4 linked regions of the Saccharomyces cerevisiae S288C genome follow. The protein of the gene in region 2 purifies or fractionates together with the protein of the main gene of each other region. This does not show direct contact. Each region holds a gene or a part of one and is shown on either strand. Other genes may lie near its edges. The genes, in order: EIS1, SEG1, PIL1 and LSP1.

What was found.
Region 1: the proteins of SEG1 (region 2) and EIS1 purify together in Saccharomyces cerevisiae (affinity purification with mass spectrometry; 3 studies listed by BioGRID). This does not show direct contact.
Region 3: the proteins of SEG1 (region 2) and PIL1 purify together in Saccharomyces cerevisiae (affinity purification with mass spectrometry; 6 studies listed by BioGRID). This does not show direct contact.
Region 4: the proteins of SEG1 (region 2) and LSP1 purify together in Saccharomyces cerevisiae (affinity purification with mass spectrometry, with the first as the bait; 4 studies listed by BioGRID). This does not show direct contact.

Annotation. Positions count from the first base shown.
Region 1 is NC_001145.3:328,342-336,631, reverse strand, and holds EIS1 (Eis1p), read left to right. Parts: upstream 1-1,888; coding exon 1,889-4,420; downstream 4,421-8,290. Other genes in the region: formin-binding protein HOF1, read right to left, coding at 1-1,334; RSF1 (Rsf1p), read right to left, coding at 4,709-5,839; FAR8 (Far8p), read left to right, coding at 6,401-7,972; TAP42 (Tap42p), read right to left, coding at 8,050-8,290. UniProt on the Saccharomyces cerevisiae protein: Required for normal formation of eisosomes, large cytoplasmic protein assemblies that localize to specialized domains on plasma membrane and mark the site of endocytosis.
Region 2 is NC_001145.3:436,021-444,655, forward strand, and holds SEG1 (Seg1p), read left to right. Parts: upstream 1-3,187; coding exon 3,188-6,070; downstream 6,071-8,635. Other genes in the region: YMR084W (putative glutamine--fructose-6-phosphate transaminase), read left to right, coding at 608-1,396; YMR085W (uncharacterized protein), read left to right, coding at 1,471-2,769; PDL32 (putative ADP-ribose 1''-phosphate phosphatase), read left to right, coding at 6,507-7,361; VBA1 (Vba1p), read right to left, coding at 7,394-8,635.
Region 3 is NC_001139.9:649,098-655,840, forward strand, and holds PIL1 (lipid-binding protein PIL1), read right to left. Parts: upstream 1,521-6,743; coding exon 501-1,520; downstream 1-500. Other genes in the region: PDC6 (indolepyruvate decarboxylase 6), read right to left, coding at 2,193-3,884; CTT1 (catalase T), read left to right, coding at 5,537-6,743. UniProt on the Saccharomyces cerevisiae protein: Negative regulator of cell wall integrity (CWI) in unstressed cells, probably by inhibiting protein kinase PKH1/PHK2 activity and regulating their downstream CWI pathways PKC1-MAP kinase pathway and protein kinase YPK1 pathway.
Region 4 is NC_001148.4:546,771-553,550, reverse strand, and holds LSP1 (lipid-binding protein LSP1), read left to right. Parts: upstream 1-1,893; coding exon 1,894-2,919; downstream 2,920-6,780. Other genes in the region: ULA1 (Ula1p), read right to left, coding at 143-1,531; AEP3 (Aep3p), read right to left, coding at 3,245-5,065; NCR1 (sphingolipid transporter), read right to left, coding at 5,408-6,780. UniProt on the Saccharomyces cerevisiae protein: Together with PIL1, main component of eisosomes, structures at the cell periphery underneath the plasma membrane that mark the site of endocytosis.

The sequences.
Region 1 (8,290 bases), 110 kb from region 2:
ATACTTTGTCTCTTTTTGATGTGGCTAAAATCCGTTGGATTAGAAGAACTTGATTCTGATGGTGAGCTGAGAGATTGATTTCTTTTATGCACCATTAGACCTTTTTCATCAGGATTTTTCGAATCTTCATCAGGTTTAAGTTGTTCTTCCCCAACAATCGGCCTTGGTTTATCAGGTTTCTGCCTTAACACGGAGTCATCCACATTGCTCTGTAACTGGACGGGTGAAGACCTCAAAGATAATGTTGGGTTAGCAACCACTTTTGTCTCATTACGTATGACGGGTGTGGAATTTCTAAATTGTGTAGCCATGGTGACTTCTGGAGATGGCAATGGTTTCTCATATTTGTCTATTGAAGCTAGTTTCCTTTTATTTTCGGTTTCCTTCAGCTGAGAAGATAGTTTCCTTATATTGTCCATATACGATTCGGTTTTTTTACTTGTCGTGGAGATACTGCTCATTTGAGCCCAGTTGGCGCTAGAATTCATGTCACCTTTGGAAGTCTTATGTTTCAGTCTACCAGTTCCATTTTCTTTTGAAAACGTCGATATTTCATCCGCTGCCGTGAATGAGTTCAGATGATTTGTTAACATGTCCATTTTTGTTTGCTCTAAAATATATGTTTCCATCGATGAGGTTGCGAACTGTTGTAATTTCGATTGTAAAAAGGATATTCTAGCGTTCTCCATTTCTTGCAGTTCGCAGGATAATTGCGCCCACTCGTGTATCCAGAATTTCTGCGATGCCTTATATTCTTGCTTAAGAACGTCTAGTTGAACCTTATATTCCTGAGAGTTCGATTCCCATTTCAATAGTTCTCTCTTGTTGTGTTCTACTCTCTTGGCCCCAATCATATTATTCTCGTTCAATTGCAAGTCTCTGAATCTAATCTGGGCATCCTGTAATTTCTTTTGCAACACCTCACACCCCTTTTTCTTGTTGAACTTGTCCATCCGCAACCTTTCAATCTTTCCACTCAATGTAGTATATCTTGCTTGCAAGTTAGCGGCAAATGCCTTAGTATCCGTGTAAATCTGTCTGAAAAGAATCTCACTTTGCTTGGAATGCGATTGTGCTCGAGCTTTCTCAACACTGAGCACCACATTAAATGTTTCATTCAACTTTCCATAATCCATGTTTGTTCCAATGTCTTTGTCTAGTTTTCCCGTGATGGCTCCAAGCCGCCTGGCATAGTCCTTCTCAAGCTCACTACGCTGCTTAAAGAAAAGTATCATTGAGTCGCAAGATCTTATTCCCTGAGAAATGTGACCCAGAAGGATGTTCACACCATTGTCGTTTGGGTCCCAAAAACAAGCTTCATAACTGTAGCTCATTCTTTCACCTTTTTCTGAATATTAGTAGTACACTTTCCAAGTCTCACACGAGGCCTTTGTATTTTATATTGTTTGCTCGCCTGCTCCAAAAAAATGCTCTAGCTGGCTTTCCTCTTTCCCTCATACAGTGAATGTGTACTTTATCAAATGGACCTTTACCATTGAATATATTTCATAACTTTTTACCATTTATTGTTTACAACTTGCCCAAAGAGGAAATCATATACCTCGGCTACTCGAACGCTTCCGCTTCGGTCCGCTGTTACCCAAAAGGGAAATAGTACTTTCCGGATGGGGCAATCGGTGCTCTTCTGGAAGAAAATCGCAAACTACCGAAAGGGGCACCCTCGAGAGGGGGAAGAACTACTGCCACTCGATGGGGAGAACTCCTTGTTGCTTGCAGTATATCACCAATGTTTATTAATTCAGTGGATCCTAAAGGTTCAGCTCTTTGGCAGCTACTTTGAAAAGAAGCAAAATAGTGCACTCTGACGATTACACAGTCTTTAGTTGTTAAATAGCTTTGCATATAGGGAACCAACGCAAAATAACCAATGTCTTTAATTTCAGCTGTAGAAGATAGAGACATACATAATATAGGAAAGACTTCTGGTGGAGGGAGCAGGACTTCGTCTATAACTTCGTCGAAAAAGTCGCTGAAACACGGCTCTAAATCTTTGAGAAAACCAAAGGTATACCAGACAACAGGCGAACCATTAAGCAGGGAGGCTTTATATAAGGCGAAGTTGAAGTACGGGGTTTACCAGTCACCTGCCCAAAGTTACTCAATTGGCGTCAGCGACGCTCATGCAGCTTCCGACAAGGCAGCTAATTTAGCTCATGACAATCAAACCACGGTAGAAGCTTACAAACGTATGTTTATTGACCCTAATGCCACTAAAGCTGCATCCAAAATGGGACCCAAAGTTGTACGTAACAACTCAATAACTTCTGCTACTTCTAAAACTTCAAAAGAATCTCAGACGAAGAGAAAGTCCAAAGAATCTCCAGGGGCCGCCGCATCGAAAGCTTATTCGATGACAATGGAAACTACAAGTTTAAGCTCTCAAACAAACAGCAGGTCATATTCTATCACCTCTGCCAGCTCTGTGTTAAGCGGCGCGAGTGGCAGTTTCAACAGTACTGTTAATCCTAAACCAAAGACTTTGAATTTGGAGAAAGTCTTAGTGGGTGCTGAAAAAAAGGCAGAATCTCGTATTAAGGAAAGATGGGAACCGGAAAAGACGAACTTCCAATACGGCGTCAAGACTGATGAGCATGGTAATTTAAATCAATTCAGTTTCTCCAATGAGATGATGAATAACATTATGGCGAAAGTTGATGCTCCAAAAGCACAAGATTTACAAAAGGTCAAAAAAGTTTCTGCTGAGAAAGAAGCCAAGTCGATGAAATTTGCATTAGGAGCTGCTAATGCTGTGAAAGACATGCATCCTGGTGAGGATATCGACAAAAGTATAGCTCTTAAGGCGCAGAAGAGGGAAACCTATCTGAGCCAATTAACTTCTCAGCAAGTTTTGACTTTGGCAAGAGCCAATGTTGACAGACAATTGGATATCATTGAAAAAAGCGATATGCATAGAAAGCTATTCACTAATATGGAATACAACAAAGCTGCTGTCGCTGTCGCACAGTCTAATCATCAGAAAAAGACAGAATTCCATAACAAGATTAACATGGGTGGTGGCCTGTTTTTGTCACCAGAAGATATCACTAAAATCGCATCCGGATTGATTTCTCCTGTACTTGGTGAAGTGAGTGAGAGGGCGGAGGCGCAACGTGCTATGGATGAAGAAATTGCAGAAAGAACTGAGGCCTATAATAAATCATCAAATGAATGGGAAACGATGGAACGTTCTATCATTTCTAATGACGCCAAAGTATTGACTACTACGGCTAATAGGCATCAAACCGAAAAAAAGACCTCCCAGGAAAAGATTAAAGCCAGCTTTGATGCACTTGTGGCCAGAATGGATACCAAAGTCGCTGAAAGGGAAACTCTGCTTGAAGATACCAAGAGCAAAGAGATCGAATTTAAAAAGCAAATGCAGCAAGAGTTAAAGGACGAAAAAGCTCGTCTAGATCAAGATTTGGAGGAATGGGGTAAGAAATGTGAACAAGATATCACTGAAGCGCGCAAAGAGCAAGAAGAACTATTGAAACCTTACCATGACGATCTGGCAAATGCAGAAGCGGAACACAAAACTTTAGTGGAAGAGCGCGATGAAATTAACGCAGAAATCTCAAGATTGCAGGATGCTATAGTTGACCATAAAAGAAAGATCTCTGGTTACGGAAATGATCTTGACGCCCAGAAGAATAGAAATATCAGAGAGGATGACAAATTACTGGAACTAGGTCAAACTAAAGAAAGCTTGGAATCCCATTTGAATGATGACGTTATTATTCTTGCTAATAAGGCTAAAGAGCAGGCTGAGTTATCAACCAAGGAGGCCCGTCTGAAGCAATTGGAAGTGGATTCGTTGATTAACGAACGTAAGAGCGAGTTGAACGCGACCGAAATCGAGTTAAAGAAGGAAAAACTAAATTTGTTGGAAGCTATGAAAGATGTTGCTTCTGCACGTGGCGATGATAAGATTGACGAAGAGAAGGTTAAAAAATTGATTGGTATGACTTCTGAGGAGTATTTAACACAAAACAAATCCGTCGAGAAAAATGTTGAAGATTTACCAACCCAACTTGAAAAAATAGAGGAAGGTGATGAACTAAAGAAGGAAGAGATAGTGGGAGCCGAAACGAAAAATTCAGGTGGTGATGGGGTTCCGGTGAGTACTGCCGCAAAAGAAGCTACCGAAACTAGTTCTGCTGTTCAAACAAAGGAACCTGAAGAAAAAATTTCGATCGGAAATAAATCAAGTGGAAAAGAAGACGCTAATGATTGTAAATCAGCGGAGCATTCAAAAGAAATCTCGGTTTCACAGAAAGCAGGAAACAATAAATCATTGGGAGTTAGCCCTGATAGTTTGGAACATACATTTAGTGGCTTTTCACAGGGTTCTTCGATCGAAGACGATCAGGATGCAATTAGTAATCAAGAGAAAAAATAATTGCTAGTGAGCCTAGATAACGAAGAAATGGTGCGGCTAAGATATTGAACAGTTGAGTGGGATACTACAGAATTTTGATAATTAAGATAGTTCTCATCTGCGCTTTAATTATTCTTTTTATGTGTATAATATATGTTTATTGCCTTAATTTAAATTTAATATTTGTATTTTCTTTTTTTTGTTTAATTTGATTACTTTTGCTTATGAAATAGTATATATGGTTGTTTTACTTTTTTTTTTATTTATTTGATCTAAGTTTTATGTATGCAGATTAAAAGCAAGTTTTAATTAATTGGTATGTTGGTTTTGATTATGATTATGAGGAGTACCGCTATTGCTATTGTTTAAATTACTACTGTTGTGTTCCAGTTCATTCACGCCTGGATCAGTTTTGAAGTATACTTCATCCGGCAAAGTATCTGTTGAAATTATTGAATATTTGATGAGCCAATTTCTCATTGGTTGGTAGTCTAAAACAGAAAACGGAATGTTTAAATCGATAAGAATCTCTATCAAGTCGTTCATGGCTATTTTCGATTGAAGTTCTCGAACATTTTGCTGTTGGACCTGGTGGTTGATGAGGCTCGATCCGGTTTCAGGATGATTTCCGTTGACGTCCCCTTTTTTCTTCTTTTTCTTCTCTTTGAATTTGGCATCTGGTTCAACAAGTAAATCACGCATCAATCTAGATTGATAGTCATAGCATTCCTGGAAAAGTGGAGAATTATGATCAAAAAATTCGGTAAAATTATTTGGTGTTAGCTGGACATCGTGAACTTTACTCAAATGTCTTTGATACTTTCTAGAACCATGCTTCTCTCTACTGTTCTTATCTTTCCATATCATTTCTTGATTGCAAATTCGCTTGGTTCTACGGTCATAAAATTGGCAATATGTGTTGATAGTTAGAGGTGATTTAGCAAATAATAGTTTAGATAGATGGTTTCCCTTAATATCTCTTCTCTTGGGAATGGGAAGCTCCAAAGTTTTCATAATGTCTGATCTAAAATTTAGTGTTTCTGAAGACAGTAGCTGCATATTATTCTCTATGAAATCTACCACTTGTTGCTGTTGCCGTTGAACTGCATATTTAGAATCCTTTGTGCTATTCGATTCAATAGTTCCCAGAGGAAGCGACTCATCATGAGTAACGTTGACAGGAGATGACTTGGCAGATACGGTAGCAGAAGAAAAATCTGGCGAGAAGTTCTCTTTTTGCAAATAATCCGGTACCATATTCATATTAAGTATCCTTGGAGTTTCCATCTTGTTGGGCGCCAGATACATCTCCTCACGAGGAGTCCCACTACGGTTGGCAGGAAAATTAGGCAGTGTCGCTATATCAACCATGCCTCTATTGTCTTGAGGAGGGCCTTTAGTGGTAGCAAATTTCCCCATTTCTGGATTTAGGTCCTTCATAACTGCTTGTAGTTCTATCTCCTTGTTTTCGAATAGCTTCTCAGAAAGTAAAAAAAAGGATAATATTACAGTTTTTGATCTACAGAGTCCCTTTTTGTACCCCTCCACTCAAATCGTTCTGATACGTACGTCTCTAGGTGTCAGATGATGGAGTAACTTGCAGATGTTTTACATGCGTTTCTTTTGGTTTACGCGATAATAGTTCCTTATTAAATGTCAAGAAAGTGCTAGTTGCTTCAGTTGTTTTAAGATTGATCTCCACTCTCTGCGTCTTCACATGCGCGGGACAACTTTACAGGAAAACAAGGTTTAAGAGATAACCTATTCGGGTTTTACGTAGGATGATCTATTATAGTCTATTCAGTTTTTACTGCTGCACCATCCCCTAGGCTTCTTTGTTGGGATATGGTATAGTACTCTATTGGTCTTAACTTTGCGATCTTCCCCGTCGCGTAATCTTAGATAAAAGCCACCTAGAACGACTAAATGTGAGGAGCAAGCAACAACATTAATAAAGAAACCCAAAAGAAGTAAGTGCGTGTAGTTAGACCGGAAAACAATATGGCTATTAACCAGGCACATGTTCATCCGCATTACACGTTACCTGGTGTAATGCACTACTTGCAAACGGAGTTCACGAAGAATGAAAGAGATAGAATCACCTGGGAGCTAGAAAGGTCGGAAATGAAAGCAAGAATTGCAGAACTAGAGGGCGAAAATAGAGATTTGAAGCATCAATTGAATCAAATACAATCGAAAGCTGTTTCTCCTGAAGGTGAAAAGGAAGAAAAACATGTGCCTGATTCATTACTGCAGTCTAAGCTAGCTGTTCAAGAAAATGTGAAGGAAATAATTTATTTGTTGAAAGGCCCTAACACGGTCAATCAGTTAGAGTCATTAAATAGCAGAGAAGCGGGTTCTGAATTGCACGATTTAGAGAAACTGAACGTGAATACTCCCAAGGAAGAGGGCAGTGCGAAGACAAATGGGATGGATATTTTAAATAATGCCCTCTTGGACACCAAACCCAATCCAAAGCAAGGTCCTTCAGAGTCACCATCACCAACCAAAGTGAAATCTTTGTTTAGCACAGCCAACAAGCGTGAAAATAATGAAACAATATCCAAGATACACTCGGAATTGTCGAAAGTCGACATTATCAGCTCCTACGGGGACTGTATGGCACTTTATGATGCAGACACCAAATCGTTAGAAATACACCAAGTGGACGCAAACTTGAATTCCAAACTCTTAAAGAAAATATCTTTAGGGCAAGATAGCGACATTATGAAATTTTTCTGGGTTTCGACGTCCAAACTCCTTGTTATTGAAAAGAGTTTCCATTTGAAATTGTTCTCTATTTCTAGCGCATCTTTGATCTCAGATGTGGACCTATTACAAGACTCAGAACAGCCGTTTTCGTCTAGTGATATCATTAATATAGACTTCAAAAATAAATGGTTGTTGATAGCTAGTAAGAATAAATCTCAAATTAGAATCTGGGAATTGGACAATATAGAGGCTCCTGAGGATGTCCCAATTAACATAAAAGAAACATATGAAATAACACATGATAATGATGACGATGATAGTAATGATTCCACAAACATTCTGGATTGTATATTGGGTATAACAGAAAAATCCTTAATATTACTGTCTTCAAATCCATACCAGCTTACCATATATGATTTCGAGGGTAAGCTTCTACAAAAAATTGATTTGAAGATTGATACAATATTATCGGGTAAGCCAGAAGAAGAAGGTTACCATTTATTTTTGGATAGAAAAACTTCTAAGCTACTGATTCAGCTAAGCAATGAGAGATTATTGGTTTATTCTTTTGATAAGAAAAAAGTTGTACTGAAGGAACAATTGACTCCATCGTCAACACTACCAATACAACTCGATTTGAACGACAGCATAATCACCGTATCATATAGTAATGGAGACTTTGAGTTTAGGAATTTAGAAAACCTAAAACCATCCATCGACGAATTTGTCGTAGCAGACATCAACTTCTCGGAAAGAAAAGAGCCTGTGGTATTTTCTTCAAATCTGATTGTAGATTCTACGCCGGTGTTAATCACCGTGAATAAAAATAACGAAGTCCTTTTGCACAAGATTAAAATATAACTGATGTAGGCAGAAAAAAAAATAATATATGAATCTGTCTAATAGATACTTATGTGTACGTATATAGGTATTTTTTTCTATCCTCTATTCATGGTATTTCCGCTTCCCTTAGCATGACTTTCCTTGAACTCGTCCCACTCACGAGCTTTATAGGTTTCTCTATCTTGCCAGTCCATGTTTTCTTCATCTGGTGCTTGCTCTGGTTCTTCGCCACCTTGAAGAACGCGACCTTCTTCAAACTCTTTATCTAAAAATTCCTCCACCGACATTGTTGGTCCATATTGACCATATCCTCGCACTTTTTGTTGCAGTTGTTGC
Region 2 (8,635 bases):
CCAGTATTTTTTCTATATCAAGTAGTGATAATGGAAATAGCCCAAATTTGGCTTCCGTCGACACATAGAACGTTTGAGAGACATTATCACCATCAAGCATCGAGCCGCCCAAACCTAACCGTATAAGTTTTTTCACGTTTTTGATTTTTCCTTGCACACTTCGATATTACTCTCACGATAAAAGGGCCGAAGAGAATATTTTTCTTGAACATCCAGAATTTTAATTCGGAGAAATTTCACAAGCCGCCGATTTAAGGGTCCTGTGTTCTTAATAATCAGCCTCTCTCAAAGCAGGTAAGAGGCAGTCTTTCTTTTAACAATAGGAGACATTCGAACTAAAACATCAGCCCCAAAAATGCGCTTGAAGGTCATTAGGATTTGGATTTCTTCCTCATTTTTAAAGGCGCCCCTTTTCGTTTTAGTCATGCTGGGCTAGACTAGCACGTAGTGTATGGAATCAAACTGATGCCGTCCCCTGAATTATATTTACAATTCAGAAACGTCTTTGAACATTTATAATTAAATTATAAAACAAAAGGAATTTGTAAAAAAGACTTTCAAAAGATGATCCAATAAACTAGATTAAAAACCCAATATAAGAAGAAGAATGTGTGGCATTTTTGGCTATTGCAATTTTTTAATTGAGAAGACAAGAGGAGAAATCATCGACACTTTAATCGAAGGGTTACAGGCATTGGAGTACAAGGAATATGACTCCAGTGGAATTTCGATCCAAGGTGATGAGCTGGAGTCTCTCAATATTTATAAGCAAACCGGTAAAATAAGCAGTTTGAAGGAAGAAATCGACCTTTACAATCTTAATAAGAACCTGCCCTTTATTTCGCATTGTGGCATTGCCCATACTAGGCGGGCAACACATGGAGGGCTAAGACGTGCAAATTGTCATCCACATAACTCAGATCCATCTAATGAATTTGTTGTGGTACACAACGGGGTTATTACCAACTTCGCTAATTTGAAAGCCTTATTGATGGCAAAGGGCTATGTGTTCAAAAGTGACACTGATACCGAATGTATTCCTAAACTGTACAAACACATTTATGATACAAGCATTGAACTCGGGTACAACCTCGATTTCCATGTATTAACAAATTTAGTACTTAAAGAATTGGAAGGCTCTTATGGTCTGCTATGCACTTCTTCTCATTTTCCCGATGAAGTGGTTGCCGCAAGAAAGGGTTCCCCGTTAGTTATTGGTGTTAAAGGTAAAACTGACATGGACGTAAACTTTGTCGAGGTGGAATATTTGGATCAAGAAGAAGACTACTTGAAGCTTAATACTCAAACCAAGAGTTCTGGTAATGTCTTGGCTGCCGCACCTGTAAAATATAACACTTGTTTAAGGAAGTCACCCCCCTTCGTTCACAATACCTGAGAAACTCTACAACTTCTACATTCAATCATGGCTCATCCACAGAAACGCCAGCCGAGAACGGCTTGCCGCGACCCATGGAATTCTATTTGTCATCCGATTGTGCATCACTAGCGCGGTATGTGAGTAAAGTAGTATATTTGGAGGATAATGATATTGCCCATATCTATGATGGGGAGCTTCATATCCATTGTTCTAAAATTGGTTCCGAGGACTTTTCATTTAGAACAGTTCAAAAATTAGAATTGGAGTTGTCCAAAATCAAAAAAGGCCCTTACGATAATTTTATGCAAAAGGAAATATACGAGCAGTGTGAAACAACAAAAAATGTCATGAGAGGAAGAGTTGACGCCTTTACAAACAGAGTAGTTTTGGGAGGACTAGAAAATTGGTTGACAGAATTGAGAAGAGCAAAACGAATAATAATGATTGCATCCAAGGCCTCCTTCCATTCATGCCTAGCTGCCCGTCCCATCTTTGAGGAGTTAATGGAAGTTCCAGTAAACGTTGAATTGGCCTTGGATTTTGTTGACCGCAATTGTTGCATTTTCAGGAACGATGTTTGCATATTTGTTTCTCGAAGTGGGGAGACAACTGATACAATTAATGCTTTGAACTACTGTATCAAAAAAGAGGCAGTCACAATCGGGGTAGTTAATTGCAGCGGTTCCTCTATCTCAAGATTTACACATTGCGGTGTTCATACAAACACAGGCCCCGAGAAAGGTATTGCAACAACCAAGTCTTATACTTCTCAATACATCGCTTTAGTCATGATTGCCCTATGGATGTCGGAAGATTTGGTGTCTAAAATAGAAAGGAGGAAAGAAATAATTCAAGCCTTAACTATAGTCCCAAGCCAAATAAAAGAAGTTTTGGAGCTTGAACCATTGATTATTGAATTGTGTGACAAGAAACTAAAACAGCATGATACATTTTTGCTTTTAGGAAGAGGTTACCAATTTGCCTCTGCTTTGGAAGGCGCCTCGAAGATGAAAGAAATTTCTTACGTGCATTCTGAAAGTATTCTTACCAACGAGCTAGGACACAGAGTCCTAGCTGTGGCATCTGATAATCCGCCAATTATCGCCTTTGCGACAAAGGATGCTTTTTCGCCCAAAATCGCGTCTTGCATTGACCAAATAATAGAAAGGAAGGGCAATCCGATTATCATTTGTAACAAGGGGCATAAGATATGGGAGCAAGACAAACAAAAAGGAAACGTTGTTACACTCGAGGTACCCCAAACCGTAGATTGTCTCCAAGGGATACTTAACGTTATTCCTTTACAATTAATTTCTTACTGGTTAGCGATCAAGAAAGACATCGGAGTTGATTTGCCAAGGGACTCGGCGATGTCGGCCCCGGATATATAAAAAAGTGTTCTTTAATTCCTTCTAATTTCATTAAAACAAGTACTTATATTTTGGGCAGTATGTAGAATAGATGTTCACACTCTATAGCCAAATAACTTAATTATTGGTCAAGGTAATCTCTTGCAATTGGTGTCACTGCCACATCTTTTAACGTCAACAGTAAATCCGCAAAATCCCGTCGCGTCGCCGCTAAGCAGGCCCAATTTTAGCTCACTGCGGCAGCGGGCTGGCCGTGTGGCGCGAGGGTCAACATGCAAAAAAGGACGATAGATAACCTTAAAGGAAGTATTCATTTCTTCGCTAAATTTTCAGTGCTCCCTTACTTTACCGACAAATTGGATAAAAACATATAAAACACAACAGCAACACGTAGCCATACCAACCAATTCCACAAATCACCAGCCGTTCGTTCCTAAAAATGTTTAGAAGAAGAACAACTGCACCAGAAATGGAACAGGCGGACCCGACAGCAGTGGCAGCTGCAGCAAGTATCGGTAAATTATTAATGAAGAAGGGTAATCAATCTGATAACGAACAAAGGCCGACCTATCGATCCGCTTCGATGACAAACTTAAGAAAACCTTCTGCCCCCAAAAGAATGTCTTCTATTTCTAGTATATCATCGGAATCTAGAAGGAGCGATGGTAAAGGTCGTCCCGGGAAAATAAACAGCCTTACCCAACGGTCATCAATGGGGAAGGGAGATTCATTAAATTCTCCTTTAACGAAGGAACCGCAGCACAAAACTAGGTCTCACAATAGAACTTCGAGTCTCCCTAACCAGAGAGGTCAGCAAAGCAGAAACAGTTCTGGTTTACAACGTCAAAAGTCCAAAACACACCAAAGAATAAGCTATGATGAGGCTCAACGTACGTTCAAGGATTTTGGCGGACCACAGGCCAGAGGAATTTTAACGGGACAACACCGTACTGAAAATCCTAGCGGGTCTATTCCTTTGAGGACTACGCGAAAGTATATTCCTGGGCCCAACGGGCTGGTTGCAATTGAGGTCCCCGTTGAAAAACCAAGCAATGCCAATACTTCTAAATTGCTAAGGCGTTCCAACTCTGCCCACAGTGCCTTGAATGCAAGAAATGGTTCACTTTTAAGAAAAAAAGTATCGCAGGAATCTTTACATTCTCAACCAAAGAAGACTTCGTCTTTAGGGAATACATCAAGTACACAAGCAAAAAAAGGCCAAAAGGCGGTTCAGGAGAGAAATCTTGCCAAGAAACATCCAATAAATTCAAATGTTCCTCTCATTGAAACACAAGTTCGTGAAGAAACAGACCAAGAGTTGAAACTTGATAATTCTAACTCTTCCGAATCCGAAACAGTAGTCAATAGCGAAAATAATCTAGAAAAACCTTCTTCACTAAACATTGAAAAAGATGATCTAAGCAAACTAATACATGAAAACATTGAGTTAGAAAGTTTTATTGAAGAAAAAGGGAAGGAAAAACCTTTAAATTCTGATCAAGAAGATGTTTTCATAAGCGAAAAAACTGTAAAAGGCGATGTACAATGGCCAAAAAATAACCGTCAAGCATCTACTCTTGAGAAAACTTTTAATTACGACAACGAAGAGAAGAGGGAGGGGAATAAACCAGTAGCAGAACATCCTCTTCCGGAGGCCGAAGTGGATGACAAGTCGGTTGAACAACTGAACAACATTTCTTCTAGCGGCAGTTATTCGGCCCAAGGATCAGTTGAAAACTCCAAACCAGAAAATGGCAATAAAAATCTAGAGAATGACACAACATCGTCTCCCACACAAGACCTTGATGAAAAATCCCGCTCAATAGAAGAGAAGGATACCTTGGAAGGGACCGAGAGTTCAAAAAAAGTTGAAAAGCCAGACAATTGTTGTGAGAAAATTTCTGGTGCTAATACTTCTTCCAAAAAAGGGAATGTTGGCGATACTAAGGATGAATTCTTCGATACAGTAGAAGAAAGCGATCAGAAAACGAGCAAGTCGAATTCCTCCAAGAACACCGATCATTCTAATCAAACAGAACCAACGCCTTCTTTGGCTCAGTATTTAAGGACCTCAAATACCTACCTTTCTCGAAAAAACCAATCGAAACAAGCTGAGCAAGAAAAGTTTCACAAGCCTGAAGCTCCTATGGTTCCTGTAACGAAAGTAGTTACACCAATCAAATCTGCTCTTAAAAAATCGTCAGGATCGTCCAACCATGACTCATCCATGTACTCTGATAACTCTCCCGCCAATGGCGCATACCTGTCTCTTACGACTGCTGAAAATACGAGATTAAATGCTCAAATGACGATGTCCGACAGCGTATCACGCAGAGCAAGTTTAAAACGATCTTCTATAAAAAGACCTCAGTCAGTAGGCCAGTTCAGAAGCATCAGATCAAATTCGCCTTCTCCCCCAGAGAAAATAAACAATAAACGCCATTCTGCTATACCCCTAGGAACCCCAGAGAAGGGTAAACCAAAAAGAAATTCGGTTATGGCTTCTCTGTCTAAAAATTCGCAGCAAATTCAAGAGCCCGCAAGTGTATATGAGTCAAATGGCCCAAATAAACCTAAAAACCAAATCAATAAGAATATAAAGAGAGGATCACAGATCGCGCAAAACAATAAACCTTCAACGAAGGACATGAATAGTATTTTGTACCCCAAAGAACCACCTCCTCGCAAATCTAGTTTTGAGAAGACGAGAAGCAATGAATCCCATCTCGGATTTAAAAAGCTTTCTTTGAGAAATGGTAATTTTGAGGAGGCATTGAGTGAAAGCTATAATGGGCAAGCTAGCCAGAATAGCACAAATGTGAATCGAACCGATACAGCACAGGAGTTTTTCAAATATTTGGGTCATTCATCAAGATTTGCGGATTCAGACTCAGAAGATGAGTCCCAATTTTTCAACCAAGGCCCATCAAAATACAACACAGAAACAGAAGGCAATAAAACCAGCGGTAACAAAAATAGTAATGGTGGTAACGGTGCTTTTTCGCTTTTCAAGAGCAAAAGTAAGCAAAAGGAAAATAATGTGGTTTCCCCTGGAGTCTCAAGTCCTAATCATACTACCACCGATCCTGCCATTACAAGTAAAAAGGTGGACAAGAAATTCAGCGGGTTATCTTTAAGAGCTGCCAGTGAAGCTGAACCTGCAAAAAATTCAAACCCTTCGATGACCAATAGGTTACGCTTCTCTAGTAATCCAGAGAACGGCGAAAGCAGGCTCCCACAAGCACAGGAAGTCAGCGTTACAAAAGAAAAGAAGGGTAGTTTCGGCAAAAAACTGAAAAAAATCTTTGGTAGAAAGAAATAGGGACTCTCGGCAGAAATTCTCTCCTTGTACAAGTTATGTATTTTATTCTTTTTCGTGCTCGTTCAACTTCTGAACGATGGCTTCCATGCACTGTAACATATAAAGGATTTTTTAATAATGAATAATCAAGAAATCTCCATTTTATATGCTTTTTTTTTTTTGCCGTTTCCACTGCAATCAATGGCGATATAATCGGATGAACAATAAATATTCGTGTTCCTATTCGTGTTCCTATACGTGTTCCTAGCAGCAAACAATAACAGAAGAGAAGCATTTGATTTTCGTAAAAACTTCAGGTGTGGGTGTTTCTTATTAACGGTTAAACTTTACGAATTGAATCCCCTATGTATAATGGTCCATAATACATCTTAAACCACCAAGCCATCTTCGTAATTTTGAACTGGGAAAATTGGGAAAACTGCAGACATTCATAATCATGACAGGATCTTTAAACAGACACTCACTTTTGAACGGGGTAAAAAAAATGAGAATAATATTATGCGATACAAACGAAGTAGTTACCAATCTCTGGCAGGAATCTATACCCCATGCATATATTCAAAATGATAAGTATCTTTGTATTCATCATGGGCACCTTCAATCTCTTATGGATTCAATGCGTAAAGGTGATGCAATCCATCATGGCCACTCTTACGCAATTGTTTCACCTGGTAACTCGTATGGCTATCTTGGAGGAGGGTTCGATAAAGCTTTGTATAATTATTTCGGGGGAAAGCCCTTTGAAACATGGTTCAGGAATCAGCTTGGAGGAAGATATCACACGGTCGGATCTGCTACAGTGGTTGACCTACAGCGATGTCTTGAAGAGAAAACAATTGAATGTAGAGATGGTATTAGGTATATTATTCATGTTCCGACCGTTGTAGCCCCATCAGCTCCTATATTTAATCCGCAGAATCCCCTCAAGACAGGGTTTGAACCGGTTTTCAACGCCATGTGGAATGCCTTGATGCATTCTCCAAAAGACATTGATGGTCTTATTATTCCTGGATTATGTACTGGGTATGCAGGTGTACCACCCATTATCAGTTGCAAGAGTATGGCCTTTGCGTTAAGACTATATATGGCGGGAGATCACATAAGCAAAGAATTGAAAAATGTGCTGATCATGTATTATTTGCAATATCCGTTTGAACCTTTTTTCCCGGAAAGTTGCAAAATAGAGTGCCAAAAACTAGGAATAGATATCGAAATGCTGAAATCCTTTAATGTAGAAAAAGATGCAATAGAATTGCTCATTCCTAGAAGGATTTTGACCTTGGATTTATAAAGGTATATAATATAAAGTCTATTTTCAATTTTTCAAGAACTTGAACTACGTTTGTAAGTATGTTTCACCAGATATAACGATAAAACAATTCCCACTGCTGCCAGGGCTATATTTGGAATATAGGAAATCAGGAATGCCTTTTTGTAGACATCAAGAATGCGAACAAATATATCCGTTGGAAAATTGGGCCCTCTCAAGTAACTCGAATCATTGATAAGGGAGTAGTACTGCTTTTTGGTGAAGTGATATTCGTCATCACGCTTGGTTTTGAACATATAATTCCATAACATGGACGACAGGCTATTCTCATAGGACACTAAAGTTAAAGAGGCACCAAGAACGTTACCAATGGATCTCCACAAATAGAAAACACCAGTCATGGTTCCTTGCTGTGATTTTTCGACGGTGAATACGATGCTTACTAACGTGGCCACTAATAGACAAGCGTAACCAAAGGACACAAGGACTGATGCAAACACATATATCAATTTCCACCATATTGAGTTAGATCTGAATGTAATAGACTCAAGCATATCATATATGGTGTAGTCAGGATTCAAGTGTGAAAGTAGGAAATAGCCCAATCCCAAACCCAATAGCTGCATTATCATACCACCAAAAATGATTTGATATGCACAGTGTGCTAGGTTAATTTTCGTATTCCGCAATACCCATCCTGTTACCAATGATCCGACTGCAACTGATATAGAGGGGAAAATCAAAAAGAGGCCAGTCTTTGTTACACTAATATTTTGAAGCAATTGTAAATAGATTGGTGACCTAAAGATTTCACCAAATACAACAAATGAAGATATAACCGTTACCGCTGAGCTCAAACAGAATGAGCGAGTCAATAGTTCGAATGGTAAAATTTTCTCAGTCGCGTAATAACGTTCAACCAGGATAAAAACAATAAAGCTACCAATGGTAAACAATGCTAAATACAACTTGTTCAACTGGCTAGAGCACAAAAATAAAACTCCACTAATGGTCGCCACCAGGCTTAATGAGCCAAATATATCTATCCGTGACAGATTCTTTAAGGTATATCTTTCTTTCATAGGAGGAACATGGAATAGCTTAATATTAATGTTTTTGATTGCTAATACCGAGCACAACATTATCACGGGTACTTGGATACCAAAAAGAGCCCTCCATCCAATGGTTTCTATAAATACACCACCCAACGGAGCACCTAGTAATTGACCAAACCCGAAAACAATATTCGCATATCCCTGGTAAACGCCCCTTTCTCTTGCTGTACATATGTCACT
Region 3 (6,743 bases), on a different chromosome or scaffold from region 2:
GAAGGCGGTGAAAACAAAAAGAATATTAAAAAAAGTAATGTATGGGTTCTCGTTGTACGGATGTTTAAAATGTCCTGAAAAATACCAATTAGACGGTTCTGTGCTTGTTATATATAGATGTCTATACGACTCAACATATGTATGTTGCTGCATTTTAGAAAAAAATTAGGCATTAAACATTAGGCTACACAGGAAATAATGTTTCCTATCAAAAGAGTTCTAACTTGAATTGTTCCTTCACAATTAAAAAAAATAAAAGAGTACATATTTAGGAGGGGGAAGAGATATTGATAATAGACTAAAGTAAGGAGTGAGGAGAGGGCAAAATACAATAATAGATGAAAAAAAAAATAGGAAAATAAAACAATTTTTTCAGAGTGAGGGAACAGAAATGATTATCTGTCCACGCATTAATTAAAAGAGATTAATTAGTATGGTAACTTGTTCTTTTCTGCTGGTTTTTTTTTTTTTGTTTCTAATAGATTGTTGATTTATTTTGATTAAGCTGTTGTTTGTTGGGGAAGAGACTCACTTTGCTGGTGTCCGACTTGTTCATGTTCTTCAACAGCACCTTCTTCTTCTTGTTCAGGTTCTTCAATTTGTCCATCTTCTTGTTCGTCTTCGGACCACCTGCCTTGACCGTCTTCCTCTTCCTCTTCTTCGCCTTCTTCAGGTTCGAAGTCTTCGTAATCCTGCTTGAAACTTAAAGTAGGCTTGACTTGGGCAGAGTCTAGTGTCCATTCATTCAGTGCGCTTTCAGCATCAATAATGATTTGTTTAGAGGCTTCATACCCATCGTAAGCAGGCCTGGTTTCACCTGGAGTGACAGGAGAGTCGTCCAATAGTTCCAAGAGAGCCTTACCGTAACCAGCGATTAAAGCAATTTTCTCTGAATGTTCGATGATGGAGTCAAATTGGTAGTTGAAAGCAGCTCTCAACTTTGACCTTGTGATATTAGATAATTGAGCTTCAGCGACCAAAGATTCAGCCTCAGCACGCACCAATTCTTGTTCCAAGACCTCAATCTTAGGTGATTGAGGATCTTTGTATTTCAAGTAGGCGATTTTGTCGGTGATCTTGTCCTTACGGTCTCTAGATGGTTGAACAGAACCTTCGATATCTCTGATGGACTTTAGAGTCAATCTGTATTGGTCATAACGATCGATAAATTGGTCGTCTAATTCACTAACTTCATAGATCAAGACACCTAATTTATCAGTGATGTCGGAAACATCGTCATCGTTTTCCAACCCCCAAATAGACAATTGCTTAGCAGCGTCACGTCTTTCGTTGGCTGTCAATTCCATGGACCTCAAAACATTCTTTTCAATCTTAACCAATTGAGACAACTTTCTGGATAATTCTGGGCCAAAAGCTCCAGCAGCACTTCTCCTAAAGCTGTAAGCTAGACCACCCTTCCCAAAGAATCTACCTTTGGTTGTAGATGGTGGTGGCGGTGGGTTCTGTAATTGAGAGGCGGTAGGTGCCCTGGAATTTCTTAAAGAGTAAGTTCTGTGCATACTATATACTTGATGCTGATATATTCTTCACTTTGCAATACTGCTAACAATGGAAAAGTATAGGTAAATAAATGTGCAGATGCAGATGTGAGACAAATTTTCTTTCTTGGGTTGGGATAATCAACGCATTGTACCCAAACGACGGGAAACAAGGAAGGATGCAGAATGAGCACTTGTTATTTATAAAAAGACACGGGAGGGGGAATCCCGTCTTTCGTCCGTCGGAGCCAAAGAGATGAGCCAAAGCAGAAAAACAGGGGACGCCGCCCTTCTTCCGTCCCGTGCGTGAGGGGGGCGCGGCCATTCGGTTTTTGCAATATGACCTGTGGGCCAAAAATCGAAAAAAAAAAAAATAAGAGGCGGCTGCGGAATTTTATAAGACAAGCGCAGGGCCAAAGAAAAAATAATAATTGACGTGGCTGAACAACAGTCTCTCCCCACCCCTTTCCAAAAAGGGGAATGAAATACGAGTTCTTTTTCCCAATTGGTAAATATTCAACAAGAGACGCGCAGTACGTAACATGCGAATTGCGTAATTCACGGCGATAACGTAGTATTTAGATTTAGTATAATTTGAACCGATGTATTTATTTGTCTGATTGATTTATGTATTCAAACTGTGTAAGTTTATTTATTTGCAACAATAATTCGTTTGAGTACACTACTAATGGCTTATTGTTTGGCATTTGTAGCGGCAGTCAATTGCGCTTGTTTGATCAAACTTTCCGGAGCATCAAAGACGGGCAGTTTCAGTTCAATTAGTCTGATCACCGAGTTTTTCTGGAACTCTGAATCAGTGGTTAAGGCATCCCACTCACCCGTAGTGGCGATCTTGTGATTTTCGTACTTTTTCGCACCAAATGCGGGCAACAGGGCGAGGTGATCCCAGGTCTGGATTTCGTTGTACTCTGCGTGAGGCCCATGAATCAGCTTTTCGATAGTGTAGCCGTCGTTGTTAAGGACAAAAAGATACGGCTTTAACCCCCATCTGATCATGGTGGAGATTTCTTGGACGGTTAACTGCAAAGACCCGTCACCTATGAATAAGATGACTCTCTTGTTGGGGTCAATCTCCTCAGCGGCAAAGGCAGCACCTAAAGTTGCTCCTGTTGTAAAACCGATGGACCCCCACAACACCTGCGAGATACCGTAGGCGTCCTTAGGAAAGATAGTTTGATTGATACCGAAGGCAGACGTGCCGGTCTCGGAAATGATAACATCACCTTCTTGCAAGAATTTGGACAATTCGTTCCACAACCACTCTTGTTTCAAGGGCGTGCTAGCAGGTACACCTTTGTTTGCGGGAGTTTTGGTTGGTACGGGAACGCTCTTGTAGCCCTTAACAACATCGGGAATAACCTTCAGTAAGTTTTGTAGTGCAAATTTCATTTGTACACCGAGGAACGTAGCGTTCTTCACCTTTACGTAATCGGAATGAAACTCCACTACATTTTTAGTCTTGTAGGAGTAGGAAAACGAACCTGTGTTAAAATCAGAGAGCAAAGCACCGACCGAAAGGATCAAATCAGCCGACTCAACGGCCTGTTTCACGTCTTGTTTGGACAGCGTTCCCACATAAACACCGCCATATCTGGGATGCTGTTCATCTATTGACCCTTTACCTAGAGGTGTCACAAAAGCTGGGAATTGCGTCAAATCAATTAACTTCTGGGTTTCTTTTTTAACGTTGTGCCTAGAAGCACAGGCATCCGATAGTATAACAGGGTTTTTCGAATTCTGGATCAATTCTAGTACGGTATCAATAACTTCCTTTTCAGCTTCGGGATCGTTAGGTTTTAATGATAGATCAATCGGTTTTTCCAAAAGAGAACCAGGAACCTTTAGATCTACCAAATTCGCTGGCAACCCCAAGTAGCTAGGCCTTTGTGTTATAAATGTTGTCCTGATCAACCTATCGATTTCTGAAGGGGCTGTAGCAATGTCTGTAATCATTGATGTAGTTTCTGAGATATTGGCGGACATTCTGTGAAAAACGGTAAAATCACCGTTACCCAAGGTATGATGCAACAACAATTGCTTAGCCTGAGCGGAGATAGAGGGGACACCAACAACATGCAGTACACCGACGTGTTCTGCATACGATCCTGCAATACCATTCAAGGCGGATAATTCACCTACGCCAAAAGTAGTTACCAGCACAGATAAACCCTTGATGCGTGCGTAACCATCGGCGGCATAGGCGGCGTTCAGCTCATTTGCATTACCAGCCCATCTCAATCCATCTACCTCGTAAATCTTGTCCAATAGGGACAAGTTGAAGTCGCCTGGTAGCCCAAAAATGGTGTTAACATTAACTTGCTTCAATCTTTCAAATAAGTATTTTCCAAGAGTAATTTCAGACATTTTGTTGGCAATATGTTTTTGCTATATTACGTGGGTTTTTTATTTATACTGTATATAAAAGAGGACTGCAATAGCACAAGATTAAGATAGAATGGCTTCAAACAGCCGCCTTTTATACATATTGGTAAAAGCTCGCGAATCGCACCATATCCCTTATCCTGTAATCAAATCGATCTAGGTGCAGATACAGATCAATTCATAAAAAGAAATTGAAGCACCAGTTTATCACTACTACACTATCTTTTTCTTTTTTTTTTTTTTTTGCGAAGTTTCGCCCTTTGTTCAATATCACTTGATAAGTTGTGGGCTTTTTCTGTCACTCATTCGGCTTAAAAAGTATTCGTTCTTTTGTGTTTTATGAAAAGGGAACGTGATATAAAAAAACATCCTTTGGTGTGGGACATGGGCTTTTGTTTAGAGAATGGTTATCACTACCGCCCCCACCCTTGAAAGCCACAGAAAATGAAAAAGTATGTGAATAAGGTGTGAACTCTATAACATTTTGGCCAAATGCCACAGCCGATCTGCATATTCCAATGGACATAATGCAACAACAATTGATGTCACATTCTCTTACACACTTCGATTGGTCCGTACGTAGTACTTTTTACATAACTGACTCAGGCGTTTCCTTCATTGAAATGCTCATCTATTGCCAAGTACATAGAATCCACAGTGCATAGGTTTATGAGATGCTTGGAAGATGTACGATCGCCTGCACTATATTAGTATATTTTTTCAGGCTTTACAAAACCAGAAAGAAATTACCGACTGTAATACTTAATTTCCATGATTTTAATCGTATGGTCCGTGAGGAAAGAGGAATTTTAGGTAAAAAAAAACCTTTGTCTATCAAAACATAAAAGAAAAGAAAAAAATTAAATTGAATAAGTCAGCTTTTTAGCATGACCACAGTAATAATAGTAATACGATATCAGCATGAGCTGCTAAACATTAAGAATTTTTGAATTGTGTTCGCTGGTAAGAGAAAATAGGGTAGCATTAGTTGCGAGATGGAAAATTAAAATATGCGTCATAAGGTATTTTCGACGTTGAAGATTAGGGGTTGCAAGTCCGAGAACTAAACTGCCTTCACGACGTCAAACTTATTGTATGGTGACAATAAAACGAATTCAAGAAGCCAGAGATGATGAGGAACCGATGACGAGGCACATGGGGATAGAACCTCCGTTATCTCCATTCCGCGTTGAGCAGCTCTCCTGCGTGCTTTCACAGAGACCCTAAGCCAAGACCGCGGACGGCCCTCTTTTTCAAGGGGATCACCGGTAAGGGGCCAAGCGGTGAAATTGCGTATTGTTTCCTCCTATCAATGATGAGTACGTCGCCGATCCAGAAGGGTTATTATTGTCATTGCCAGTACTATTCGTATGCTGAAAAAGTATAGTTCACTTCACCCTCTGGCTGCAGGCTAGCCTAGCCGATAATGCCCCCGACTCCCTCAACAGGTAGAATTTGTAAGGATTCGACGTAGCCTGGACACATTGTGCATTTATCGTATCCCCTACTGCTACACGTATAAGAAGTCGTTGCTTTACCTCTATTCCAGAACTCAATCTTGTCGTTACTTGCCCTTATTAAAAAAATCCTTCTCTTGTCTCATGCCAATAAGATCAATCAGCTCAGCTTCACAAATGAACGTGTTCGGTAAAAAAGAAGAAAAGCAAGAAAAAGTTTACTCTCTACAAAACGGTTTTCCGTACTCTCATCACCCATACGCTTCTCAATACTCAAGACCAGACGGCCCTATCTTACTGCAAGACTTCCATCTGCTGGAAAATATTGCAAGTTTCGATAGAGAAAGAGTTCCGGAGCGTGTAGTCCATGCCAAAGGTGGTGGTTGTAGACTGGAGTTCGAACTAACAGATTCTTTGAGTGATATTACATACGCCGCTCCATACCAGAATGTGGGTTACAAATGTCCTGGTCTTGTTCGTTTTTCCACCGTTGGTGGTGAAAGTGGTACACCAGACACTGCAAGAGACCCAAGAGGTGTTTCTTTTAAATTCTATACCGAGTGGGGGAACCATGACTGGGTCTTCAACAATACTCCCGTCTTCTTCCTCAGAGACGCTATTAAGTTTCCCGTATTTATTCATTCGCAAAAGAGAGACCCTCAGTCTCATCTGAATCAGTTTCAGGACACTACCATATACTGGGATTATCTAACATTGAATCCGGAATCAATCCATCAAATAACTTACATGTTTGGTGATAGAGGTACTCCTGCTTCGTGGGCTAGTATGAACGCGTACTCTGGTCATTCCTTCATCATGGTCAACAAAGAAGGTAAGGACACATATGTGCAATTCCACGTCTTGTCGGATACTGGTTTTGAAACCTTGACTGGAGATAAGGCTGCTGAACTGTCAGGCTCCCACCCTGATTATAATCAGGCAAAGCTGTTCACTCAATTGCAAAATGGCGAAAAGCCAAAATTTAACTGTTATGTGCAAACAATGACACCCGAACAAGCAACTAAGTTCAGGTATTCGGTAAATGACCTAACGAAAATATGGCCACACAAGGAATTCCCTTTGAGAAAATTTGGTACCATCACCCTAACGGAGAATGTTGACAATTATTTCCAAGAAATTGAACAAGTTGCATTCAGTCCAACGAACACTTGTATCCCAGGTATTAAGCCTTCTAATGATTCCGTTCTACAAGCCAGACTTTTCTCCTATCCAGACACTCAACGTCATAGATTGGGAGCCAACTATCAGCAATTGCCCGTCAACAGACCAAGAAACTTGGGATGTCCATACTCCAAAGGTGATTCCCAATACACTGCCGAACAGTGTCCATTTAAAGCAGTGAACTTCCAAAGGGACGGCCCAA
Region 4 (6,780 bases), on a different chromosome or scaffold from region 2:
ACCGGTGATCTCTCGTTGTTGTAAACATTCGATATCATATGCATCATAAAAGTTTACATTTAGTCTTTATTTGCATCAACGCAAACCAGGGAAGTACAATAAAATAAGCATTCTATGAACTCGGAGAGCTGACGAAAAAATTTTATATTTTATATGTTGCGGATGAATTATTAATGCCATTATATAAAAATAGGTTATCAATAGGAACGTAATGGTGTGTGATAAGCTTTATAGCCTCTTGAACCACTGCACCTCCAAAAAAGGCCATTACGGAATAGTTATCGTCGACTCGTAAACCAATAAACTCATCTTTATCCTCTGCAGTTACTGCCGGTTGCTCCCAGAATTGGACCATAACTAATGCATCTAAAAGGGCATTCGAGGTGCTAAAAATACCTAACAAGTCACTTTTTGGCGGCAATATTTTCCTGACCTCCCCGTAATGAGAACAAAATGTCTCCAAGACATCCTGTGAAACTATTTTTTTACTGCGAGCCAAACTTTCCTCCACACGAGACTTGTCAAGCTTTGCTTTTACTTCATACAGTTTCTTGAGTCTGATATAATTTTCCGTTGTTGACTCCATATCTGGGAGAGTGCCCGTTAAAGGTTGAAAGCTGAGCTCCCCATTCTCTTTAGCAATATTTTTCAAAGTCAATAATAGTGTGAGAATCTCGTAGTTATAAGTATCATGCCAATCGTTCCCATAATCTGATATTTCCAAATTTCGGAGCAGATCTTCCAGTTCTTTACAACAATCATTTTGAGAGCAGGCCAAGTAAGCATAGCGTTTAGCTTCCACATAATTGGGTTCGTAGATAACATCATTCCCTAAAGGAAGGCAAATTTGGTCTAAAACTTTCTTCATCTGATCAATCGTTATCCTCCCATTATTACCATCCCTTTCAAGTTTTGCAATACACTTCATGAGCAAAACAGTATATGGAATACCAGAAAACGTGGCTGTATCCATTTTACTTAGGTCAAATGTATCTACGTAATTTATTAGTTCAGGCCAAGGGTTCTGTAACCGTAAATCATACTTCTTACTATCTGGGTGTGCTTGCAAAACAAAATGTGTTTCTGAGAGTACCAGATATATATATCCATAAAATCCAGAGACGAAAGTGTTTAGAACAGGCGGAAACTTTGTTCCTCTCTGCCGCCTAATCTCATTTAAATCGAGCATCGCAGTTTGCTCACCAATACAAGTCAAGATCACCACCGAGAAGCGGGTCCAATCATACTGAGGTTGCTGTAACGTCTTTCTAAGGTCATTTTCCTCATATTCTAGCTGTTTAGAAGCCAATGGCTCAAGATCTTTTTTAAGCTCTGCTAAAAACAGAGAACCCGATTGAACTGCACACTCTACTTTGAGCCAAGTAAGAGATGATATTCCGGCAAGCACCAGATTCTTAAAAACTTCCTGCAGCAAAGGTGTAGCAGGTCCTACCACGCACACACGGGACCGGTTCAAACTATCTTGGCCCAATGCTCCCCATAGTCTCAGCTGTCTATCATATCTTTCCATATTTTCATCTACGGCTGTCTAGTTGGCCTAAGAAAGAAAGAGAGGCGACTCATTTTTTTGACGTCAATCGTCTGACTTGTCCTTCTATTTCATTGCTAGGCTAGAAAGCTTAGCTCTTACAACCCCGCTCGTTGCAGCCGAGTGAAAAGGGGATTGCGAAAGGCGTTAGAGGGGATAAAAAGGGGCCCTTTAAAAAAAAGACGGAAAAACCGGGAAGATGCAACGGCTAAATCGCAATATATAAACAGGTGAGATAGAAAAGAAAAAAATCAGTTAACCTCTTTCCTCAATTCCAATGCTTGACCGTAAATTCTCTTTATTTGGTATACGAAAGATTAAACTTTCAAAGCTCCAACACAAGAATGCACAGAACTTACTCTTTAAGAAATCAAAGAGCTCCAACGGCTGCTGAGCTACAAGCTCCTCCACCACCACCATCCTCAACGAAGTCCAAGTTCTTCGGAAAGGCCTCTATTGCGTCTAGTTTTAGAAAAAATGCGGCTGGTAACTTTGGGCCAGAGTTGGCTCGTAAATTATCTCAATTGGTTAAGACTGAAAAAGGTGTCCTTAGAGCTATGGAAGTTGTTGCCAGCGAACGCCGTGAAGCTGCAAAGCAACTGTCTCTATGGGGTGCTGACAATGATGATGATGTTTCCGACGTAACCGACAAATTAGGCGTCTTAATATATGAGTTGGGTGAACTACAGGACCAGTTCATCGATAAATATGATCAATACAGAGTCACATTAAAATCAATTAGGAACATTGAAGCCTCTGTTCAACCTTCGAGAGATCGTAAGGAAAAGATCACAGATGAAATTGCCCATTTGAAATATAAAGATCCTCAATCAACAAAAATCCCAGTTTTAGAGCAAGAACTAGTTCGTGCCGAAGCTGAATCTTTGGTTGCGGAGGCTCAATTATCGAATATCACACGTGAAAAATTAAAGGCTGCTTATAGTTATATGTTTGATTCATTAAGAGAGCTTTCTGAAAAATTTGCCCTGATTGCTGGATACGGAAAGGCCTTATTGGAGCTGCTAGATGACTCTCCTGTCACTCCAGGTGAAGCTAGACCAGCGTACGATGGCTATGAAGCTTCTCGCCAAATTATTATGGATGCTGAATCGGCCTTGGAATCTTGGACCCTAGACATGGCTGCAGTCAAACCAACTCTTTCATTTCATCAGACCGTTGATGACGTCTATGAAGACGAAGATGGTGAAGAAGAAGAAGAACCTGAAATCCAAAATGGAGATATCCCCGGTCAAGTAGTCGAAGAAGAGGAAGTTGAATGGACTACTGAAGTTCCTGTAGATGATGAAGCCCATGAGGCCGATCATCATGTTAGTCAAAACGGTCATACCTCCGGTTCTGAAAACATCTGAGTTTTTTCTAATAATTAATATATTCGAACCTTTCTATATTGTGCTTGTTTTTCACCAGCTCGTGTCTACCTATTATTAATTTCATCTGAATTTGGTTCAAGTATTGTTCGGCCAATATTCCGGTATTGTAATCACCTTTATAATTAATTGAACAAATTTTATAAGACCTAATAATTAACCTTTCTCTTGTTCTCCTTTGCCGTAAGAGATTCAACTTTTCGAAGTCTAATTAAATGAATATGATCTATGAAGTATATATGTACAATAAAAATGCCTATATTAATAAAATTCCTGTCCAAATGCCAGGGCACTTATGCCTCCCTCATCAAACCTCCCCAACTATTCTCCTCTTTACTAGCTCTTTTTTGAAAGCTACATCATTGTCTTTGATATACGCCATTCTTTTTTCCAAAGCAGCCTTTGTGGCTATTGCTTTAACCCGATTTCGATATTCTCTTTTTTTCTGGGAAATGTTTGAGGGTAGGTTTGTGGGCTTCTGATGATCTTGTGCTGTATTGGTGCAGCGTAAAGTAGTGGGGATACAACCCAAAAAACGTAGTATTTTTTTTTGTGAAGAATCACTTTCTTTCCAAATTTTCCAAGAGAACTCACCCTCGGAAGCAATCAGGTTGCCCAACAATTTTCTTGCTTTTTCAATTGACTTTTCTGATAGCGTATTAGGACTACCAAATTTGAAAATTGAGTCTGCTTTGGTTCTCCAATAACTTGTCCGCAATCCAAATCCTTCACTAACCTTTAAGTCTTTGATATACTGTAGGACTGCCCCAAAATTCTTGGTGTTGCCATTCCTAACTAACGCTTTAAATAACATTTCGAACGTCTGAGAATCAGGTTTAATTTTGTAAATCTTACGACAAGTATTATAGCAAAGGAATGCCAAATCACTTCTTCCCTTATTAGCAAATACCCGCATGAAATGATTCATTGCCTCCGAGTCCAACTTAAAATTACTTTTCAAGTGCTGAAAACCATAGTCAAGTAATTTAGATGCGGTTTCAAGTTGTTCCTCGTTTAGTAGTCGTTCTATGCACAGATAGAACGTCTTACGGGAAATCGGTAGTGAATTTGCTGCTAAAACTTTTAAACAGTCCTCTGCTCTATAATCTCCGTTCCTTAGCACAGTATAAACAAAATTTACGTTAAAATTTCCTAAATGTTCACCCATTTGAACAATGTACAATTGTCTCGAAACTTCATCACGAAGAAAGTTATAACATGTCGTCCAAGTTATTACATCTGCAAAAACTCCATGATTACGCATACTTCTAAGATAAAAAAGGACCTCATCGTCAGGGTGCTTCGTTTTTCTAATATGCGAGTTTTTCACTACATTACGCAGTAAAAGATTAAAAGTGATTGTATTTGGTTTAGTCCCCTCAGCCTTCATTTGTGCAAATATTTCTCTACAAGACGCAAAGTCGAAGTGCTCACTGAAAAAGTATATTGAGTCATTATAAACTTGAGCAGAACGCAACGGCAGAGTCGTCTTATTGGTTGGATGAAGTAGGTGCCGCAGCATCTTACGCACAATACCATTTAGTTTGGAAGATGAACGAAAATTGAACTTTGTATGACTTAGTATTCCAATATAATTTTCAAACAATTGAGGGTTCTTTGAAAAGTCAGGGAGAGGAGGGATCTCGTCATTACTAAACTTAAGAAACTTACGAGTGAAGCGTTCTGGCCCTGAATTCTTCTCATTCGATGTGCAATCTATCAGTAGCGTCAATAGTTCTCTAGTAAACTCTTGAGACTTTGCTGTAAGAAGTTTCTGGAATTTATTCGAGGAATTCGTTTGTTTAGAGAACATATACATTCGTTTTGCACGTTCCTCATCATAGTCATCCCTAATTTGTTTCCTAGAAAGCGTTAAAGTCGGCAGGCTTGAAAGGTATTCCTTAACTTGCTCCCTTTCATACTTCACACCATGCCGTACTATTTTTTTTGCCTCTCCATTAACTGACGTTGATGTTGGGCTATCTATTATTTTTTCATCAACTTTCTTGACATTTGCAATTGGTATACCCTCTCTGAACAGGCCTGGAAATATTACTTTCTGATATAGTTTTGGAGCTTCTCTCCCACTTTTGGATAGTGCTTGTGTCAAACACCTTAATGTATTCATAAATATACTAAATGGCTAAGGATGCCCAAGAGTGCCAGAAGATGCCAGAACAAAATCACCCCGAAGTAATCGGTTTTAGTTCTTTTGGCCTTTCCTCTTTTGAAGTTCTGTGTGCGAAAATGACGATTTTCGCCCGAAACCAATAATACTTTTATGACACTATTAAAGATTAAATATAGTAGAAGTATCTAACTTCAATGCACGATAACAACGAAGCCTGTGTTAGTGTTATCATTTCTGACTCGAAAAATTTTCCCACAGATTTTCTGGTGTGGCATCAGAATAATTAACGAATTTTTACCTATTTTTTCACTACGTAAAATATAGTATAATCTGCTATGGCTAATCTTCTGCTTCGATGGAATCGTCCCTATAGCTTTCACCACCAAACAATGAAAGTAAAGCAGGTAAAAATAGGAGAGCATGCAATGCTGCTACAATGATTAGTGTAAACCACATTCTAAAGTAAAATACATCAAATATTTTCGATTGGGCGAATGCAAGTACACAAACTCCAATGAATTTGGTTAGAGTTATACCTTTGATGACGGACTCACCTATGGTATTCAAGGAATAGAGAACTCTTGAGTTTGCGTCTTTCTTGGTTTCACTGGGGACCACTGTAAATGATCTAACAATATGAACACAAAACTCGACACCCAAACCGACACAAATAATTAAATTGACTAAACTGACAGCGTTGAGTGAGATACCTAGTAGGGCCATCAAAGCACCAATATCTACGATAATCATGGTAACGACCAAAGCCAGTAAGAATGAGCTGCGTATATTCTGCAAGAAAACAGATGAAATGAAAAAAATTAGGATAATGGCACTCCCTATTAGCTTCAACGTCAATGGTCCCAAAGTTTGATATTGAACAAAAAAAATGTAAAACGGCGAGTATGCAAACATATCTAGTTCGGGGAAAGAACTTGATATCCTAACTCCATCACTATACGCCTGGATAAAGTCCTTTTGGGATCTCAAAGGATGATGAGCTGTTCTGAAAACTGACGCAGACACACTCGTTTCATTATAAACTAACGCAGTCGAATATGGCGCACGACCACCTAGAGGGCAGGGGTCACTAGGCGCATTAATCCATATGCTTAGGTATTCCATGAAGTCCTTGCCCTCAGGAAACCCTGACATGTTGTAATTCCAAGAACCCTGCTGGAAACAAGTTTCACAACGTCTACTTGGAAAAGAGGGAGGACAAACCTCATCTGTTCCCTTCTTTAATCTACAACACTGGTCGTTTTGAGGATTTAAAAACATGAAATAATCGTCCAGCCAATTAGCCAATGGCTCCGTAATTGTTGACCTGTGTCTTTCTTGCTCCAGTACATTAGCTAATGAGTCTCTTTCGCAAGTTGTAAATTTACCACATATTTTCTGTTGGTTTTGTCTTTTAGTCAAATCTAAATTCTTCACGACCATGTAAACCGGTGGTCCTACGTTTAGGAAGCTATAAACATCCTTAAAATAGTCAACCAGGTAGGAATCCTGTGGAACAGCCAATGTTTGATCTAGCCCAAATTGAATTTCTGGTAAGAAAACCAGAGATGTGAAAAACCAAGCCGAGAAGATAATGATTATGAGCCTCTTTTGCGTTAACATCTTAAAATAAAACGTTTTCAAAAATGATTCCTTAGTTTCTTCATTTCCGGTAATTTGTTTATAATTGGATCTCTTTTCGTAGAGAGACAAAA